Rattus norvegicus: one gene and its partners. The protein of the gene in region 1 purifies or fractionates together with the protein of each later gene. This does not show direct contact. Links are inferred from orthologs where the notes say so. Each region holds a gene or a part of one and is shown in the gene's direction. Other genes may lie near its edges.

Region 1 (5,164 bases):
GCCACTTATCTTTTGGCTGAACAGGTACCAGACCATACCATGCATGCTTTCACACAGATATACATACATACATACATACATACATACATACATACATACATACATACATACACACATACATAAAAATTTTAAAAATTTTAACTCCACTCCCTGCTCAATTTTATATGATTGTCTAATGCATTATTCACCTTATACTGAACAAAATTTGACATTCTAGCAAAGTCATGGCTGTTCCACTAGGGGGAGAAAAACACCAGTAGTATTTGTTACCAACCCTTAGCCCAAGGGTTAGGCACTTTACTTACATTATCCACCAGGTGTCAACCGAGAGAAGAAAGTTACCCCCCCCCCCCCCCCGCCTTAAAATACACAAATGTGTAATTTTATGCTTAACAAGCCAAACTCTTCAGACAAACGGCTTGCCCAGTAATTATTCTTGACATAGTTATATTCTAGATTTTTTTAGCTCACATGTCAAGTCAAATAAAATGTAATTAAATAAAAATGTAGATTTTTTTAAAATAAAGAAAACAGCAAAATAGTTCGTTTGTTGTGATTCGCCCTATCCGGATTTACCATGCAAAAAGGATCTGATGTTTAACTATAGACAACCTCGTCCGATTTTGGCTATGCATAAAACAGGATTTCATAATATAGCCATGTTATGAGGTTATGTTGACTGTTAATGATCTTAGTCTATGCCATTACCCTCTAAATCCTGGTGATGTTTAGAACTGCATTTTTTTACTCAAGGCATTGAAAAAAGGAGAAATGTGCCTGTATTTAAAGATGTAGCACGGCAATTAGCATGTTGAAGTAAAAGTAAGGCTTAAAAATTAAGCCTCATTTATGTAACAAATCATACTTAAAAACCAAAAACCACCGTATATGCTTTTCTAGCTAAGACTTTTCAGTCTGTTGTAAACAGTGTCAGCTAAATGACTATGTTCAAACTGTCTCTTATGAGGTGGTAATTAGGGGTGTGAGCTCTATTCTTATTCCTGAGGATACAGAAGTTGTAATCGCGTCATTCTCTGCAATGGAGCAGTAGGTGGTGTCTTGAAAAAGGACTTTTTCTCCCGTCGAGGAAGTGGTCGGGCCTACACACTACACAGACAACTTGGTCGAGTTTGAAGCTGTAGGAGTCTGGGAAGGCAGCTGAAGACAAGAGCTGCCTGGAGCATTGTTCTTTGGCTCCTAAGGCCTTGGCTTAGTCCATTGCCACCCTGTCTACAAAGTCCTGCTTGCTTTTGTTGTTTCTATCCAAGTCAACAATGCTTTCTAGTATGAACAATATTTGTCTGCTTTTTATTACATTTTCTTTTGAAATTCATTAGCTTAGACTGGGGCCACCAGCGGCTTGCCCAACCGGTTTCTCCCCTTCCCCCACGGCTCGCACGTCCTGCGGGTCCGCGGTACGGGCGCACACCCTGGCCTGGCGCCGCCGGGCCCCTCTACCTAGCTCGCGGAGCGCGTGCGGGGCCGGCGCTGCAGCCGCGCGGAGTGCCCGCCGGCCAATCGCTGCGGCCCATGCACCGAAGTCAGGGACGCCGGCTCCACACCTACTGTACCGGGAGCGCGCGACGAGAGGGAGGCGCGCGCCTCGCGGGAGGGAACGCGCAGGGAGGCTGGCTGCAGTCGCGGCCTGCGCCTGCGCACTGGGGTTGTTTTTCACAAAGCTGCTCTTAAAGTGAGCTGGCAGCCTCCAGCCGCCCGTCTTTGTAAGGAGACCACTGAGACGAGCAGGAGCGTGGAGCAGCGGCTTCTCTGCTGCCCTGACTTTTTAAGAAATCTCAATGAACTATTTGTAGACAATCACTGATCCTGCCTGCAAGATTTTTTTTTCTTTTGCACGGCAAAGACACCGATCAGTGTTAAGTGAAGATCACATCTTATATGCGATCTTGACTTTTTTTGGTCTTATTATATTTTTATAGATTTTGTTATAATCATGGTGCTGGGAAAGGTAAAGAGTTTGACAATAAGCTTTGACTGTCTTAATGACAGTAATGTCCCCGTGTATTCTAGCGGGGACACTGTCTCAGGAAGGGTAAATTTAGAAGTTACTGGGGAAATCAGAGTAAAATCTCTTAAAATTCATGCAAGAGGACATGCGAAAGTACGCTGGACTGAATCAAGAAACGCCGGCTCCAATACTGCCTATACACAGAATTACACTGAAGAAGTAGAATATTTCAACCATAAAGACATCTTAATTGGGCACGAAAGAGGTAAGTTTTTATATTAGTCACTACATTCTACTTCTGTGCATGAGAACTTTAATCTCCTTTAATGCAGTTCTAGTCGGCAGTTTGATGAAGGTAGCAAACTTAGAAGATGTAGTTTCTCCTTGACGTCCAAGCGTGTTAAGCTGTAATCCATGCAGGCGTCTGCAAAGTGAGTGCAAACTGCACTTAACTTCATCTGTAACCGGCTTCATATCTGCCATACGCACCTTATAACGTGTTCAAATGTGACTCCGTCGTTTTACTGATATTTTCAAATTCATTTGCAAAGACTGCAGTCCAATGTTGGATTTCTCCTTTTATTTTACAATCTTAGATACAGGAAGGAGCACCAATAAAGAACTGTAGTGACATTTTAAGAAGGTTGCTAGATGTATCTGCTTTTGATATTAACGTGCAAACGACTTTAAAGACTTGATTATTGTTCTTTGATAAAGGGTTTCCCTGGCTTATTTTGACATATGGCATCAACACCCCCACGTGTTTTCCCATTTCTCCCAATTCCTTTTAAAATGTACATCAAGCACCATTTATTTTAAAGGATAATATCTATCATTATGCAAACTATTAAGTCAGTTTAGAAGCCATTCCGGGTCAGTACTTTTCTTCTCGGAGCATCATGTCTAACTTTGGAACGTGGATTCAATGAAACCCATGGCAGACAGATGGAATTGAAAAGTATATGGCACATCGGATTTGGTTTTTGGGTACAAGATGAAGATTAAGGCATTGTCAAAGGGACAAGAGGTCCTAAGATTTGCGATCTGTTGTTTAAGTGGCTACAATGTGGAAATATAGGCGACTCCAAGCTTGTTTTTCTAAGTTTCCACCCTTTGTTAGAAGCGGTTCAATCCTGTTTCGGACCAGTTCTGGGGGATGGTGAGGAGGGGCGCTTGTTCTGCTCTCAGCAGATTGGTTACACGCGTCAGGTGGTGGCGATGACTTAATTCCTAGTCCAAGAAGAATATAATGTTAAAACTGGTTATGTAATTTGTGTTTCTTCTTTCTAATGCAGTATTTTAGTGCAAATACTGGCGATTTTTCAGATAGAGGCATGCTTTTTTTTTTAAGTATCTAAAATATACATCCTAGGGAGACGTTAATTGAACTTAACGCAAGTGAGAAATGGAGGATGCTTTAAGTTACACAGAATTAATGTACCGTCTTTTAAATATAAAGGTGAAGCCAAGTCTTGGGGTTTACGCAGCTACACCGAGGTGTTCTACATGCTGAAATGGTTCCCTAGTTCACCTTCCGCAGCGTCCACACGAATGGGCCATACAGTACCTAATGACAGCGCTCGTATTTGTTTTTTAAAAAGGGCAGATCCATGAATTTGCTTTTGAACCTGCTTTGACGTCGCACCCTTTAAAAACATAAGAAGAGACAAAGGCTTTTTCCTCGAAGAGTTAAGACTTGTAGTAGGGGGGAAAGAACGAGTTCTGTGGACACACACTTGATCCGTTGCACCACGATCTCACAGTTAAGATAACTACCTGCGCCCTGCGAGGTGCCCCAGCAAGCCTGGCTACGCGTGGACGGGCTCTTAAGGCTGGAATAGTTTCAATGACTTCAAACTGGCAGCTCGCTCAAACTAGCCTGGTAGCTGAGCGCCCGCCCCGGGCGCCCAGCGATAGGCGGAGCTGCGTTTGTTAGCCTGTTGCTAAGGCGATGCCAGGCGTTGATTGGACTGGGCACGGGGGGGGGGGGGCGAGGGGGAAGTCGAGCCGGCTCGCGCCGGCTGGGGCGAGGCTTGGAACCGGCGTGCGCCGGTAAAGGTCTCTCCCGGCCAGCCGCCTCCGCCCCTCGGCGCGCCCCTCTCCGGGTGTCCCAGGCCCCTCGCCCACTGCAGCCGCCGCAGGTTTCATTGCCCTGGGCTCAAGCTCGGTTAAAAATCCCACCAAAGGCTGATCGAGGTGCGGGCGCCAGGGTACCCCCGGGGCTGGTACCTGTGTGACCCGAGGGGACATGACACAGGACAGATAGGGGAGACATCACCGGCACCAACTGGGCCTCGCCCATTGTTCCCCGGGGCCTCCGCCTCCGCGCCGCCGCCCCAGTTCCCCCTCGCTGTAACAGCGAAGGTGTCAGGGTGGCCTGAGCCAGATTGAACCGGTCACCGGCTGGGGCGTGGAAAGCGGAAGCTCGGCTTGCTGTGGCTCCGCCTCCGGCCCAGCATTCTAGGCTGCTCGGGCGCGAGCGCCGCGCGACGTATGCCGTATGTATAGCGGGGCGCGCGGAGCGCGGCCGCGCGCGGGCGGGCCGGCTGGGATCTGCTCAGCGCCGGTTTAGGCCGGTCCTCTCCTGCTCTAGTCTAGTTCTTGATTGACAGCCAGGCACTTGTTTACCACGGCGCGGCGGCCGCAGCACTCCTCAATGAGACTGCTGAGCTGGCACAAAAGGGAGCCGAGGAAGAAAGGGAGAGAGGCGAAGTTTGGGCGCCTTGGAGGGAGCGAATTGACGGGCCATGGCTCCCCCGGCCGGTCCTCAGGGCTGACGCTGTACAGGGGCTCCCCAGGAGGCTCTGGAAGCAATGCGCAGATATGGTCAGGTCACCATGATTTAGGGATGAAAGTCATATTTTTATGTATTTTCAGTACTTCGGCGAAGTGTAATGATAAGCGCCAGCCCCCACCCCATGCTAATTAAAAAGGATTGCACACCAAGTAAAGTCTTACTAGACTTCGGTATATTACCTAGACAGCCAAAAGGACCCTTTCCACATTTTTAATTTATTTCCACGACACACATACAAAAAATGATTCTGAGCAAAAGAAATGGGTTAAGTGAAAGCTTATTCGCAACCCACCCCCCACCCAATTCCCAGCAAATGGATGTTGAACAAAATGTTTCTTTGTCACTAAACTTAAAAAAGCAGATTCTAGCTGCTGCATAAACCACTTGTGTTGAATATTGCC
Region 2 (5,235 bases), on another chromosome or scaffold:
AATAAAAACTGTAGATTAAAGACTATCTGGGGCTAGATGACATGGCTTGGAACCTTGGTTTCTGGCTCAGTGATCTTGGGCCAACTAATAATTTCCGTTACAGTCAGTTGTCTTCTGTACAAAGTAATAAAATACATTTATAGTATTTTGTTAAAATATCTTATAGTATGCTTGGTGACAGGAGTCATCTGGGATGCTAGTTAAAAAAAAAAAAACAAAACAAACAATACCCCCCCCCACACACACACACAGATTCTCCTAGAATACACCACTCTCAATACTGGGGATACAATCTTGGGTCTTATCAATGCTAAGCAGGTATTCTACTAGTGAGTTACATCTCGAGCCCTTACTGCATAATCCCTAGTGCGCAAACATTGGTTGGAAGTGCAGAACTTTTAAATACTTAAAAAAGCAACACCCCGCCCCCACACACCAAACCCAAACTTAGGGTTTCATCATGTAACATTAGTTGGTCCAGAAATCTCAAGATATCTAGGCCTGGCTAACCGTGAACCCATTTGTCTCTGTCTTCTAACTGAACCTGAAGCTTACTGTGTAGTCTAAGCGGGTCGACTAGAGAGCTCATAGGTTTGCCCGCCAGTGCTGGGGGAAAGGGGTCTGTGCCAGCTTTTACATGAATGCCGAGATTCAAGCATCCTTGTGCTTGCACGGCAAGAGTGTTTACCCACTGGACCATCTTTCCAACTCAGAATCGTTATTGTTTAATAAACTCTCTCGGCATGTAATTCATTTTCTTTTTTCTTTTTTCTTTTTTTTTTTTTTTTTTTCGGAGCTGGGGACCGAACCCAGGGCCTTGCGCTTGCTAGGCAAGCGCTCTACCACTGAGCCAAATCCCCAACCCCTCGGCATGTAATTCATAATATGGTGGTTTCAAAGGTATTTCAAAAAGTGTAAGTGACTTTCTAGATGGTTTCCTTACGAGGAGACAGGATAAACATTAATAGCAAAGTCTGCTAATTATTTAAGTGCTTAAGTAGTACCTCTATTACTACTACTGCACAGCCTATTAATTCTCACAAACACCTCCATGAAGGAGATTGGGGATAGGCTTAGATGCGATTTGCCTGGGTTAGATGCGATTTTCCTGCACGCGGTTTAATGTAAGCATCTGAAAAGGTAACAACAGACATTTTTCTCAGTTTTGTTGTAAACGTTAGGAAGTATGCTTTCCAGTTTTTAGAATTCAGGCCGCGTTGGCGCCGTCAAACTGTCACCCTCCTAAGAACGCCCTGTCAAAAGGTGGAGAAAGGAGAATTTGAACCCAGTCAGTGTAACTCCAGAAGGATAGAACCCGCACAGTGCTTCTTAAATTGTGATTCCTGCTGTCAGGAGTATCAATAGAGAACTTGTTAAAAATGCAAATTGTAAAACACCCCCCAACACCCCGCACTCCATGCCAGATCTACTGAGTCAGAAACTGGTGGTGGAGATCAGCAGTCTGTTTTTAAAAGCTGGTCAAATGATTCTGAGACACCCTAGCGTTTGGTAACAGTTTTTTGAGGTTCTGGCAGGGAAGAAGGGGTTAAAAGGAAGCAACAAGGAAGGGAGAAAGAAAGGAAAGGAGAAAGGAAAGAAGAAAAAGAAGGAAGAAAAGAAAAAGCCGTGGATATGTAGAGAGCAAGGCTAAATTCACTTCACCTGGAGGTGAGGAAAAATGATTTAGCAGGCTGGCGCGCAAAGCCTGTTGGGGCTTGTAGTCCGGACTGCGTCTAAGAGGACGCGCCTGCGCACTAAGTGTGAACTAGCTCTAGTCGCTGTAGTCGGGGCTCGGGACCGGCTGCCATCTTAGCGGAGGGACTGAGGAGTCGTCGCCGCCCCGAGTCCCGGTAAACACCCGCAGGCAGACTGGGGTCATTTCTGTGGCTTGGAGGGAGCTTGGATGAAAAGGCATGGAGAATGCGAAGGGTAGAGGAGTGTTGCGTTCGAGTCGAGACCTAAAGCCGGGGCTGCTCTTCCCACAGCCGGTGTCCGTGGGGGGCGCCCGGAGAGCGGGCTGGTGGCCGGAGCCGGGTGGCGGGTGGGTCAGCAGGTCGAGCTGAACTGCTAGTGCTTGGCCTAGGCGCCCGGAGCCTGTGGACCCGCAAGCCCCAAGTTGGGAGAGAGCCGAGCCGCGGCGGACGTGGGTAGGGTCCAGCCCCGCGCCCCGCTGCCGCGCCCGGGGGCTCCTCTCCTGCGGCTCGGCCTACGCGCGGGGCCCGGTGGCAGCGGCCCGCCCGCGCGACGTGGCCCTTTGAGGGGCGGCGGCCGGGCCCACCTGCCACTTGGCAGGCTCCCCCGAGACTTTTCCAAGCTCCCACTCGCGGAGGACCTTCCCCAGTGACTGCCTCCCCTTCTGTCTTGTACTTCCCTCCTCCCTCCATTGTCCCCACTCGTGGTGGTCCCGGCCCAGGCCGGCGCCGCCGACTTTTGCAGACGTGGAGCTGTCACAGTCCTTCCTACTGAGAGCGTACTTTTCTTTGGGAAAAAAAAAAGTAGAGGTGAGCGTATTTGAAAGGTGGAAGCCTGATGAGGGCAGGACTTTTAAATAGAAGACTCGCGTTTTGAGACTTAGTTCCTGGCTGCAACTTCAAAAGAGAAAAAATATATATAAAGGGTCAGTGCACCCGAAGTAGACATTGGGCCCCAATTAGAGATGTGACCAGGTGAACTTGCAAAGTACCCAAAATTCACGGTTCCCCAGTCACTTGTTTTCTTGACTGTGTTAGAATACTAATCCTGTTCAGTTTTCTGCTCTTTAAGAGCTGCAGTGAACTCTCTCTAAAGGGAGCATTGGGGGAGAAGAGTGAGGTTTTCTTCCTCTTCAAAGTTGACAGAACACAATCTAGCCCCCCATCATTGTTCTCTTAAGTGGGTGTTTCTCCTGTCTCCTTATCTTATGAAAGTAGGTAAAGACCGTGTCTGTTCACTCCCAGGATTGGCAAAGGGCTCCGTTCTCATCTGAAATAAAGTCTTTTAGGGGACACATTTGAAATTCAACCTTGTGTATCACAGGTTTACTTAAGGCTTAATTTTGCACGTTTAGGAAAGATTGAAATTCTCTTTTGAACAGTGAATATACTTTGTGTGCATGAGTTCAGGAATTCAGACTTTAGAATAGATGTCAACAAGGATATACTATGAAACCAAAAGCAAGTGCCTAATACCTTTTTATTGTATTCTAGAGTAAGTTCTACATTCTTTAAAAAAAAAAAAAAAAAAAACAAAACAAAAACTAGCTTTACTTAAGAGACAGACTGATCCATGGTCCCAGAATTTGTCCATTAGCACAGTTACAAGAGCTTTTGGGTTTTTTTTTTTTTGTTTTGTTTTGTTTTTGTTTTTTTTTCTTTTTTTCAGAGCTGGGGACCGAACCCAGGGCCTTGCGGTCGATAGGCAAGCGCTCTACCGCTGAGCTAAATCCCCAACCCCAGCTTTTGGGTTTTTTGTTTTTGTTTTGAGACATGATTTGCTATGTATCTCTGACTGGACTAGAACACACTGTAGTAAACTTAGACTGGCATCAAACATTCTGATTTCTTGCCTCTCCCTCCCTTGTGCTGGGATTATAGGTACATACCATCAGAATGGGCTCAGGAGAAATTTTTAGATTTGTTTATTTGTGTGTGTATGTGTGCGTGCGCACACCATGACTTGAGTTGGAAGTCTGAAGATAACCTTCAAGAGTGTTTCCTCTTTCCTGTGGGTTCCAGGGTTCAAACTCAGGTCATCGGACTTGTGTAGCAAGTGGCTTTCTGTTGAACTATTTTGCTGGACCAGGAGATCGTTGAAAGTAGAGTTTGCAGCCCAGTTGGTAGAGCACTTGTTTACCATAGACAAGAGCCAGAGTTTATTTAACTCTCAGCAGCATTGGGAGGTGAGGCCGGCCTGGGCTGCTCGAGACCCTTTTTAAAAAGTAGACGTTCTCAGGTCTCACTTTTGAGATTGATTAGTGGATCTGCATTGGCTTCTCTCACTTTATTACAAATGTGCTGTAGGTAGTGGGGATGGTTTTGGGAACACTGAGGCAAATAATAGTATGGTTATAACAAGGACAGCACAGAAAGCTTTGAGATAGGAGAGAGAGTGGAAGTGGTCAGTGTGGGAATTGTTGAGGGGAGTGGCAAGACCTGTCAATGAGAGGCAACATAGTGAGTTCCAGCCCATCAGAGCTACATAGTGGGCCCTGGCTCAAAAAAGATTTTGTCTATGGACCTGAAGTTCTAGAGTAGTGGTTCTCAAATCGAGGGTTTTGACCCCTTTGGCAAATGTCTAGCTCTAAAAATATTTACATTGTATTCATAACAGTAGCAAAATTATAATCATGCAGAAACAGCAAAAATAATTTTATGGTTGGGGTCCCCACTACATGGAGCACTGTATTAAAGGGTCACAGCGTCAGGAAGGGTGAGAGCCGCTGTTCTGGAGGATGAGTAGGAATGTGACAGGTGAAGAAAGGGAAGGTAGTGCCGAAGGAAACGCCTCAAGACGTTGAGGCGTGTGTGGTTTAGGAGGGATGTGGGAGAAAAGGGGTTCAGTGCACAGAAAGCAGTGGAGGAGAGGGTTATGGGACTCAGGACCAGAAAGGTAAAAGGAGCCTGCACTAGAAAAGGTCTGTGTATGGTGCTCACTCTCTTGAATTTTATATTGTGAGAGATCAAGGCTTTGGGGAAAGGAAGTGGTGTAAGTTGGTGTTTATTTTAAAAAGATGGCTCTAATGATAAAAGTGAAAGGGCCCGAGTAACTGTGGCAGAAGTTTCCCTGGTAGGTGACAGGCTGGCCTCGGAGGGGCTTCCTTAAGAGGTTAGTGTCTCATTTTGCTGATGTAATAATGTTGCTATGGTTTTGGATGGGGATTGTTTTAGGGCTAGTCTGATTGAGGGCTTCTTTTGCTTTTAGAATATGTTCATTAGTGTCTTTGAGAAATTAGAATCAGGTGAGATGCAATTTGGAAGAGAATGTGAGTTTTGGACTATAATTGATTATTATCAGCACATCGATCCATGTTTGGTCAGTTGTTTTCTAGTCACAGAAACTTGGTACTTGAGCTTTACATTTGGAAGAGATTATATTAAAGTGGCAAATGTGTTTTAGGTTGTAGGCCAGCTTTGATTGGAAATAGCTTCTGTAAGTACTATTAGGGAGGATTCTGGTCATCGTGGCTCATGCCTTTAATCCCAGCACTCAGGAATCTGAGTCAGAAGGATTGACAGCCTGGACTACACAGTGAACTCC
Region 3 (4,986 bases), on another chromosome or scaffold:
GTTGGTGTCCACTGGAAACTTGACAGAATCTAGAATCACCTGGGAGACAGCCTGTTGACATTGCCTGGGAAGGATTATCTGGATTATGGTAACTGAGGTGGGAAGGCAAATCTGAATCGTGGGCAGGGTGGTTCCATGGGCAGAGGATCCTGGACTATATGCAACAAAATTGCGTGAGCATAACTCTCTCTCTACTTCCTGAGGTCTGGTTTATTGTGACCAGTTGCTTCAAGCTCCAGTCACCAGATATAAGCCAGCATAAACTCCATTTCCTTTAAGTTGTTTTGGTCCAGTAATTTACCACAGCAAGAGGAAAAGAACGAAGGCACACAAAATTGTCATGTACGTTTCGAGAGGTTTCTTTTCTTTTCCTTTCTTTCTTTCTTTCTTTCTTTCTTTCTTTCTTTCTTTCTTTCTTTCTTTCTTTTTTGCATCATGTGCTATGCCCCTAACTTATATGTAAAGTTAGGGACTAGTACCTAACGTGCCAGAGTGGAAGTGACTGTACATTTGTTCATTCAAATGGTATTTACTGAATCCTACAAATATTCATGGAGTCTCAGTGTTTGCTCTTCTTGGTATACTACTCTTTCAAAGGTTACAACAACAGCAGAGTGAATCAGAAAGGTGGTTTAAGGTTAACAAGCAATTTAGAACAGAAGTGTTGTTACATGGTGATTTTGCTGAGAACTTGTTACCTATGGAGCAGTGAAGTTAAAGGTGTTACAGGCAACAATGGAGTGGTCATCCTTGAAGAGAAACCAGGATTTCTGAACTTTTCTAACAAGAGAACTAGTCGGCTATGGGGTGGGTTTAAATAATTTGTGGTGCCTAGGTGAGGTGTTTAGGTAACTGTACTATTTGTGCTGGAAGAACTTTGTTCTTTCTCTGAAGTAAAACAGCGGGCCATATGGTGAGTAATGTGGTCATTACATTGCAGTGTGACCTTTCTCGTAACGTAAAACTACCAACAGCTCTTTTCTAAACTAGTTGACTCATTGTGTCATGGAGTCAAGAGACGCTACCTTTCAGAATTACTGTGACCATTAACTGTAGGAAAAAGGATATATGCACTTGCTCAATCAGTAGTAGCTTTGTTATTTGGTCACTGTGGTGCCAAGACAATTTCATTACCGACACAATGGTCTCCTGTGACCACTACTAGTGGACCCTAAATATTAAAGCGAGGTCAAGGAGCTTTCCTTCGCAGCCTACTTTTGCTGCGACGTGCTGAACTAAAGCACAGACGTGCCCGGAGGTTCTTCCCTGGGGTTATGCAGGAAGCTCTGCAGATGCCTGAACAGACCAGGTAGCTGCTGTTCAGAAGTCACCACCCGCTTCCCGGCGACTGCCCCGCCCCCTTTCCGGCCCTGGCCCCGCCCCCTCCCTCCTATTGGTTGGCGTGCCTCTCCGCCAGACCGTCGCGAAGACCCGGAGGAGTGGAGTCGCCCCGAGGCGAGCCGGGCGCGCGCTCGCTGCGCATGCTCGAGAGCAGCTGGATTCCCGGTCTGGACCGTAGGCTCAGAGCGGCTCCGGCGGGGAGGCGCGCCTGTGCGCGGCACGGGCGTCGCGAGTACGCTGCGCGCTCCCGAGGAAGGGAGGTGTAGGCCGGGGTGGGTGGGGGGAGGGCCGGGTGTCGGCGCGCTTGGCGTGCGGGATCGGAGTGGCTGCGGGCGGCCTGGGCTGCCCGGCCGACGCCTGCTGCGAGATGGCGATCTTGGGCGCGGAGGGCTGAGGAGGCGCCGCCGCGGTGGCCGCGGGCCCCGGGAGCCGCAGCTTCGCGCGGGTAAGCACAGCGGGGCTCTGGAGGGCGGCCGGGCCGGAGTTCGCTGGGGTGGGGTCGCCGGGCTTGCCCCGAGCTGGCCCTGGCACCGGCCTGTGCCGGTGACACCGGAGCCCGGCGAAGTGTCTGGGTGACTGCAGTGCTCAGGCTCCTGGCCGGCAGCTTGCTAGCGTTCCAGCTTCCCTGCCTCAGAACTGCTGCCCTGACTTTCACCCGGATCCCACCGGCGCGAGCCCGGACTCCAGCCTCAGCTTGTCCTTTTCTGACATGTTTTTAGCATTTAGCGTTTTTTCACTGACTCCGCACCTCCTCTCACCAACAGTCTCAATCTCCACCTTTGGTGACCTGGTAGGTTCAAGTGACCTTGCAAAATCTTCTAATCCTCGTCTCGTGATTTGGGCCCTTTTCCTTTAAGTCTTCTTTTAAAATTTAGTATTGTTAGGGTTGGTACTTTGCCGGTCGCCTTTATAGTCTTTAAATGATCAATTTTGTGGTTTAGGATTGTGTGGCTCTCTCCTTTCTTTACTCATCGGTTTGGAGTTGAAGTTCCTTTGCTCGAAGCGATTCCTCTTCATTATTGCCAAAAAGGTGTATCTATTATGCTTTTGAAATATTTTACTTTCCCACCATGAAATAATTCACAAATGTCAGGTATTTTTCTGTTAAATTTTTATCTTTTTGTGTGCATAAAATTGAATTTCTACTCTTAAAGTAACGGGGAAAAAATAATGCCAGAGTTATCTTCCCACTTCCCATTTGGTATTTTTTTTTTCTTGTTGAAATACCCAGTTCACAGTTGTCTGTAGGTTTCTGCAAGAGTTTTTGCTTGTGTATAAATCCACTTGACATGTCTCACCAAGTCTGTGTGCAACTATTAGTAAAACTCTCCTTTTAAGAAAGACATTCTTTCATTTATCTGACTTCCTTGAGCCATAAGACTATATACTTAAACTGACTGAAAATTACCATTTTTAAATAACTAGTTAACCTTTCAATTTCGAAGATAATGGCCAAGTGTTGGAGCTGTTGAAATTGAGATGCTTGAAAAATGTGGCTTAGCTCTTTGAGACATAGATTATTAACATTTCCAAACAGTTCTTCACATAAAATGTTGAGCTGCTTTTAAGACACTGTGCTTTTGAAACCCCGGACATGGCTGATCAGGTCTCTTGCCTTCAAAGAGATGGTAATCTCTTAAATTGGCTGAAATTTCTGTTACATCCTTGCACAGTTATTAAGCATCAACTGCATGAGAGAATGAGGTATTTGGGGGTATATGTAGATCAAATGATTAGCAGCTTCTGTCTTTACAGATTATGGAGGAGGTCTGTGTGTTGGATTATATACAGATGCTCCTTTCATGTTCTGGGGAATAAATGGCAGAATCTCACTACGTAGCCTAATCTAGCCTTGAACTTGCCATCTTCCTGCCTCTGAGATCATAGGCCTATGCACCATGTCCAGAATACCTTTGTGTGTACGTTTCATAAATATAAGAATTCTCTCAAGTTGTGTTCAGAGAGGGTAGTTCTCAGATGGGTTAAGGAGTTTCTTGTTTCGAAGAAGCTGGATTGAAGGACGATAAACTATGACCTGAAGGATGGTGAGAAGTCAGCAGGGAAAGATCGTTCTAGTAGAAGGATCTAAGAGGGTTTGGACAGAGTCTGCAGGGTTTGTTCTTAGGATATAGGAGAAGAAAACTTGAAGTAAAAACCAAGACCAGTAACAAAGTTATTCTTCTTTTTTGTTTTTCTTTCCTTTGTTTTGCTTTGAAACAGATCTTGCTATATAGGTGTGACTGGCCTCCAACTTGCTTGCTGTGTGGACCAGGCTAGCCTGGAACTCAGAGGTCTATCTCTCTTTGCCTTCCCAACCCTGGAATTAAAGAATGTGTCACTACTGTTGGCACAAGAGTTATTGTTAAATTTAGATAAATTTCAGGTTACTAGGCAGTGTCAGGCGCACAGATGATTTTTGAGTTTAAGGAACAGTTTTACACCTTTGTTTAGAAAAATTAATCTAGTAGCATTGTGTAGTATGAATTGAGGTCAGAAGAAAATGGAAATTCATAAGTTACCTCAGGATTTCTGTCATTATAGACAGCAAGGGTCTGAACAAGTGGAAAGGACAGGAAAGTAGGATAGAATTTGGTAAGCAGGTTAAAGTTCAGATAATTGGCAAGATGGGTAAAGGTGCTTGCTGCCAAGCCTGGTGACCGAAGTTTGATCATAAACACCCCCGCCCCTTGGTAGGAAAGTAGTCTACTCTTCAAAGTAGACACAAGCACACCCTGTTCCCTCCACGAATTAATGCTCTGGCTGTCTTGGAACTCATTCTGTAGACCAGGCTGGCCTTGAACTTACCAAGATCCACCTGCCTCTGCCTTCTGAGTGCTGGGTTTAAGGTATACACCACTATGCCCAGCTGAAATAATTGTTTTTTAAAAAGTTAAAATAATGATTCGGATCCATGTCCATAGGGAAAGTAATGGTAGTGTAAAAGCATTATCCTTAGCAGGCCTGTATAATGCTCATAGACTTGGGTGACTACTAACCCTTGTTGAAACTAACAGGTCACGTGCACCCATGCTTTGTGGATGTGATTTTAGGGGAGTCCATGAATTACCTGAAGCTCCTGCCTGAAACCCATGGGCTGTCTATCGTGCTGGGGGCAGCTTTCAGAATTACTGGAAAGTTAATAACCCTGACTGTAGGTATACTGTGTAAGTAGCTGGAGACAGTAATCCACTGTATTGTGGCTCACACCCCACAGGTAATATTATTCTATTATATTGTCTTTAATTTGTTGTTGTATCATGGAACAAACTTGCCTGAGAGTTTAGTTCATGTGTCCCAAGGCTCCTTGCAAGTGGTCAGATAGAGCCTGGAGTTTGTGAACAGTGGTGGTTTTCTTTTTTCTGTGAAGAGAAGAGCATAACTGATTTGCTGCTGATCGGCTCTAGTTTGGTGTCTTTTAAGTAAAGAATTAGTGGTTCCGAGAGATTCCTCCCAGTTAAGGTTTTGTGGCTCTTGGCACATAGGTCTTCACTGGAACATCTGCACTCATCTTTCTTTCCTTTTGTGTGTTTGAAGAGTGGTGAAGCTGGGGGATGCTATGGGTAGGCAGAGAACAGATAGCAGTATCAGGTCAGACATGTTAATTATTGCTGTCTGTGTGACTCCTGATTGGGGATCTGGGAAAAG
Region 4 (5,008 bases), on another chromosome or scaffold:
CTCTCTCACACACACACACACACACACACACACACCCCTACACCTGCAGCACATCCCCTTCAGGATGGAGGGATACTAATCCCTTCTTTGTGGTTTGACTAAGGAAAATGATTGTCAAAGTTTCAAGGTGAACCTGCAACTCAGGTGCTCCAATCCCAGTTGTAGCTTCTTCTGTGCCCTCCCCTCGTCTACATGGAATAACACAGTACCTTAGAAAGGTGGCAAGGAAATGGACCTTAGAATCAGACAGATTTAGGTTCCGATTCAGATTCTGGTGCTGCCTGGCCAGTGTCCATGGGCAAGTGATTTGCCTCTTTGAGCCCCATTGGAGCTAAAAATACCCCCGTGGGATTGTGGGAAGGATTAAATGCAATAATGCACAAACGGAATGTCCCCTAAATGTCAGCCATTGTTATGTTATTATGTAATCTACAAAGTATGTTTGCTTATTCCATGTGAAAGACTTTTGGTCTATCAAATATAATACACGTGAAATCAAACCTTGAAAATTAATTTTTTTCCGCAACAGTCAAGTCACTTGCCAGCTGCAAAGGTTGGTGTTTCATGAAATCTTAGTCTTGGTCTGATGTTTTTTTTAAATGGGAAGGAAAAACTATCATTTTCTTTCTGTAGTTTTAAAATGGACTTCAGAAAACACATTTTTAATATAATGAATTATATGAAATTGTGGGGGTTTTTTAAAGACAGAAAAGGCCCAGTGGTGGCAGGTTCACATGACATAGCCTAAAAGATTAGCTAATTATCCAGCCAACAAATACAATTAATACAGTTAACACTTTTATAATTACAAAGGAGTTACTTAAGAAATTGTTTGAAAAGAAGATCATGCAGACTGGAGAGACAGCTCAGTGGTTAAGAGCATTGGCTGACTTCCAGAGGACCAGGGTTCGATTGCCAGCACTCACAAAGGCAGCTTGTGTGTTGATACTATCTGTATATTCAGTCCTAGGGAATCTGATGCTCTCTTTCTCCTGACCTCCAAAACATGCACAAACGTGGTGCACAGACAAACACAGAGATAAGACTCCCATGCGCATAACATAAGTAATGTAGTTTATTTTTTTTTATTTTCAAAAAGAAAATTCTTGCATTTTCGTTTTCAATGCATCCCTGGATATCCACCATATAACAAGAAAAATGATGCCACACTCCCAAGAATTAAGAATAACACCCCCACCCCAACTCTCCCCAAGTGCGTACACATCAATTCCTAAAGAAATGCAAAGGGCGAAGTTACTGCCTTGGTGCGGTTGCCTGCATGTTCTCAAGGAGGGAGGACGCCAAAAAAATATTTTTCACCAAGTGTGCTTAGAAACTCTGTAGCTGTTGGAGTCACCTCCTGTGTTCTTGCCAAATAACTGAAAGGGAATACACTGGGTGTCTGCGAATGGGGTGTCATTTATGAGTGCTAGAGGAGGGTAGTACCTGGATGTGAACACCGGTGTCTAAGTGATCCGCACTCCATGTCTCCACCGGAGCCCTTGTGTGTGTTTCTTTCAGCTTGCTTCTGGGTGTTCCTGAGTTTGTTTATAGCCACCTCTCTGTGTTGGACCAGGAGACAGCTGTCGTCTCCAGCATGAGCGGGCGCGGGTGTGTCTCGGTGTCTGTGGCTGTGGTTCGGCATAAGTCTGAGCACGTCCCAGTCAGCAGGGTGCGTTTGTGCCTGTGTGTGCGTGTCCGGGTGAGCTTGTTCTTTCTGTTCCTAAAAGAAAATGCACCCACTGCCACTGGCGTCCAGAGACCTTCCAACCCGCACAGGTGACCTACATGAACAGGTAGCACTTCCAGACAGCGCCTGGGTGGTTGGCGGGTCGCACAGCAGTCCCAGATTTCTCTCTCGGGAGCCCCAGCTAGGGTAGCTGGAAGGGAGTGGTGGCCTGGCCTCCGGGGAGCAGCTTGGGCCCCGCCCGGGCCAACCCCAGGAGGAGGCGGGCTAGGCAAGGAGGGTTGGCCCTTAGTGCCTCGCCCCTCCGGGCATGCGACGGTGCCATTGGCTCAAAGTTGCTGCACGTCACTGGGCAAGTCCCCTAAAGTCTAGTGCACATAACGGGCAGGGTGCACTGCAAGGCTGCTTCTCCCGCGTTCAGGCTGCAGCTGGCAGGCATCGCGAGCCCGGAGCACCCACGAGCTCAGTGTGCAGGACGCGCCCCCAGCACAGCCACCTACGGTCTCTGAATGAAGCTTCCAGGAGTCCGCCCCCGGACGGCTGCGCCCCATCGGAGGTGCACCCGCTGAGAGCGTCTGGGCACTGAAAGCCGGTGCGCTCACCTGCCGGCCATGGAGCCACACGGGAATGACAGCGACTTCTTGCTGGCACCCAATGGAAGCCGAGCGCCAGGCCACGACATCACTCAGGAACGGGACGAAGCGTGGGTGGTGGGCATGGCCATCCTCATGTCGGTTATCGTCCTGGCCATCGTGTTTGGCAACGTGCTGGTCATCACAGCCATTGCCAAGTTCGAGCGACTACAAACCGTCACCAACTACTTCATAACCTCCTTGGCGTGTGCTGATCTAGTCATGGGCCTAGCGGTGGTGCCTTTTGGGGCCAGTCATATCCTTATGAAAATGTGGAATTTTGGCAATTTCTGGTGCGAGTTCTGGACTTCCATTGATGTGTTGTGCGTCACAGCCAGCATCGAGACCCTGTGCGTGATTGCAGTGGATCGCTATGTTGCTATCACATCGCCCTTCAAGTACCAGAGCCTGCTGACCAAGAATAAGGCCCGAGTGGTCATCCTAATGGTGTGGATTGTGTCGGGCCTTACCTCCTTCTTGCCTATCCAGATGCACTGGTACCGTGCCACCCACAAGCAAGCCATCGACTGTTATGCCAAGGAGACTTGCTGTGACTTCTTCACGAACCAGGCCTATGCTATCGCTTCCTCTATCGTATCTTTCTACGTGCCCCTGGTGGTCATGGTCTTTGTCTATTCCAGGGTCTTCCAGGTGGCCAAAAGGCAGCTGCAGAAGATAGACAAATCCGAGGGCAGATTTCATGCCCAAAACCTCAGCCAGGTGGAGCAGGATGGGAGGAGCGGGCACGGACTCCGAAGGTCCTCCAAGTTCTGCTTGAAAGAGCACAAAGCCCTCAAGACTTTAGGCATCATCATGGGCACCTTCACCCTCTGCTGGCTGCCCTTCTTCATTGTCAATATTGTCCACGTCATCCGGGCCAACCTCATCCCTAAGGAAGTTTACATCCTCCTTAACTGGTTGGGCTATGTCAACTCTGCCTTCAATCCTCTTATCTACTGTCGGAGTCCAGATTTCAGGATTGCCTTCCAGGAGCTTCTGTGCCTTCGCCGGTCTTCTTCGAAAACCTATGGGAACGGCTACTCTAGCAACAGCAACGGTAGGACAGACTACACAGGGGAGCAGAGCGCATATCAGCTGGGGCAGGAGAAAGAAAATGAACTGCTTTGTGAGGAAGCCCCTGGCATGGAAGGCTTTGTGAACTGTCAAGGTACTGTGCCTAGCCTTAGCATTGACTCTCAAGGGAGGAACTGTAACACAAACGACTCGCCACTGTAGTGTAGGCTTTCTACTCTTTAAGACGGCCCCTCCCTGACAGGACACTAACCAGACTATTTTACTTGAGTGTAATAACTTTAGAATAAAATTGTATAGAGATTTTGCAGAAGGGGCACATCCTTCTGCCTTTTTTATTTTATTTTTTTAAGCTGCAAGTGAGAGAGAGAGGGAGAGAGAGAGAGAGAGAGAGAGAGAAAGAGAGAGAGAGAGACTGTATTTCAGTGCTTAATGTTTTCCTTGTACAGTTCAGTTCCTCTTTGCATGGAACTTAAAAGTTTCTGTCTGAAGTGTTGTTGGTCTGTCTGTTTGGATGGTGTTTCCATGTATCTACCTCACTGGTCAAGTATTAAGGATAATATATATATATATTGCTGCTGGAAATTCATATGTAAAGGAGAGAGTTTTCTTCCTGTACCCTTGGACTTGAAATATCCTGTGTCTTGGACCTTTCTGCTGTGAATGTGGACTCTCTCTCACTCCACTTATTCGCTCAAATGGAGTGTTGTAGGCAGGGATTTGAGGGACAACATCAGTTGTTTTTCTGAGCAAAGTCTAAAGTTTACAGTAAATAAATTGTTTGACCATGACTTCATTGCACCTGTTTCTCCAAAACCTCTTGACTCTGGAGTGTCCTTGTCTCTCCCACTGGAAACCACAGGTAACTATGTGTCATAACTGCTGAGTGGCTTAATGTGTAAGGGTACCAGAATGGCATGCACCGATTGCCTAGCCCTTCCTGTGTCTTTGGATCTCTAGATGCGAACCGGTGTCTTTCCTAACTTCACTTGTGTCCTAAATCAGTCCCACCCGTTCTCAGTACAACCCAGTGTGTCCTACAGTTGCCAGTCTGTGCTGTCACCTCGGAAACCCTGACTCACAGAGACAGAGTTGTGGGCATATGTTTTGCCCCACATGCTCCTGACACCCACCTTCCAGCCCCACTTACTTAATTAATAACTGTGTGTATTTATACCACTGCCGTCTCTTACAGCAGTGCCCTCTGTACTGCGGGAGGGTTTGGTGTGTTCAGGATGAGGAAGATGTTCTGTGTAAAAGCTATCCAAGCATCTAGGAATTCCACGGGAAGTCAGAGGCCTTGGTTGAATAGAGAGAGAGAGAGAGAGAGAGAGAGAGAGAGAGAGAGAGAGAGAGCAGAGCTTTAAAACATCTCTGGTGAATGCATCATGCCTTGAACACAGGTTCAGCCTCTCCTTGCTCCCTTCTACTGTCTCATGTTTTCTGTCCCCTGATTCTCTGCACTTCTGTGTAAACTAGGCTTTTCCGTGTCTGGCATTCCCACGTGTTATATGAAGTTTAGTAGCAGCCCAGTACCCAGTAAATTCCAGTAGCACCCCTCGAGCTTACAAATAATAGCCAAAAGTAACCTCAGCCATGACCTGTTACCCCTAAGGGTGAAATACTCCTTAGCAGAAAGCCTGGTGTAGACTTTGGA

Evidence for each region.
Region 2: the proteins of Arrdc3 (region 1) and Itch purify together in Homo sapiens (co-immunoprecipitation; 5 studies listed by BioGRID and IntAct, counting the BioPlex papers as one, with this or other methods). This does not show direct contact. The link is inferred for Rattus norvegicus from reciprocal best matches to the Homo sapiens genes ARRDC3 and ITCH.
Region 3: the proteins of Arrdc3 (region 1) and Wwp1 purify together in Homo sapiens (affinity purification with mass spectrometry; 4 studies listed by BioGRID and IntAct, counting the BioPlex papers as one, with this or other methods). This does not show direct contact. The link is inferred for Rattus norvegicus from reciprocal best matches to the Homo sapiens genes ARRDC3 and WWP1.
Region 4: the proteins of Arrdc3 (region 1) and Adrb2 purify together in Homo sapiens (affinity purification with western blotting; 6 studies listed by BioGRID and IntAct, with this or other methods). This does not show direct contact. The link is inferred for Rattus norvegicus from reciprocal best matches to the Homo sapiens genes ARRDC3 and ADRB2.

Annotation. Positions count from the first base shown.
Region 1 is NC_086020.1:12,871,487-12,876,650, forward strand, and holds the start of Arrdc3 (arrestin domain-containing protein 3), read left to right. Parts: upstream 1-1,715; 5' UTR 1,716-1,951; coding exon 1,952-2,231; exon of another isoform or gene 2,232-3,196; intron 3,197-3,407; exon of another isoform or gene 3,408-3,544; intron 3,545-4,432; exon of another isoform or gene 4,433-4,779; coding exon of another isoform or gene 4,780-4,792; intron 4,793-5,164. UniProt on the Homo sapiens protein: Adapter protein that plays a role in regulating cell-surface expression of adrenergic receptors and probably also other G protein-coupled receptors.
Region 2 is NC_086021.1:164,104,023-164,109,257, forward strand, and holds the start of Itch (E3 ubiquitin-protein ligase Itchy homolog), read left to right. Parts: upstream 1-1,773; 5' UTR 1,774-1,850; exon of another isoform or gene 1,851-3,226; intron 3,227-5,235. UniProt on the Homo sapiens protein: Acts as an Acts as an E3 ubiquitin-protein ligase which accepts ubiquitin from an E2 ubiquitin-conjugating enzyme in the form of a thioester and then directly transfers the ubiquitin to targeted substrates.
Region 3 is NC_086023.1:37,979,405-37,984,390, reverse strand, and holds the start of Wwp1 (NEDD4-like E3 ubiquitin-protein ligase WWP1), read left to right. Parts: upstream 1-1,647; 5' UTR 1,648-1,786; intron 1,787-4,986. UniProt on the Homo sapiens protein: E3 ubiquitin-protein ligase which accepts ubiquitin from an E2 ubiquitin-conjugating enzyme in the form of a thioester and then directly transfers the ubiquitin to targeted substrates.
Region 4 is NC_086036.1:57,911,894-57,916,901, reverse strand, and holds Adrb2 (beta-2 adrenergic receptor), read left to right. Parts: upstream 1-2,099; 5' UTR 2,100-2,298; coding exon 2,299-3,555; 3' UTR 3,556-4,142; downstream 4,143-5,008. UniProt on the Homo sapiens protein: Beta-adrenergic receptors mediate the catecholamine-induced activation of adenylate cyclase through the action of G proteins. The beta-2-adrenergic receptor binds epinephrine with an approximately 30-fold greater affinity than it does norepinephrine.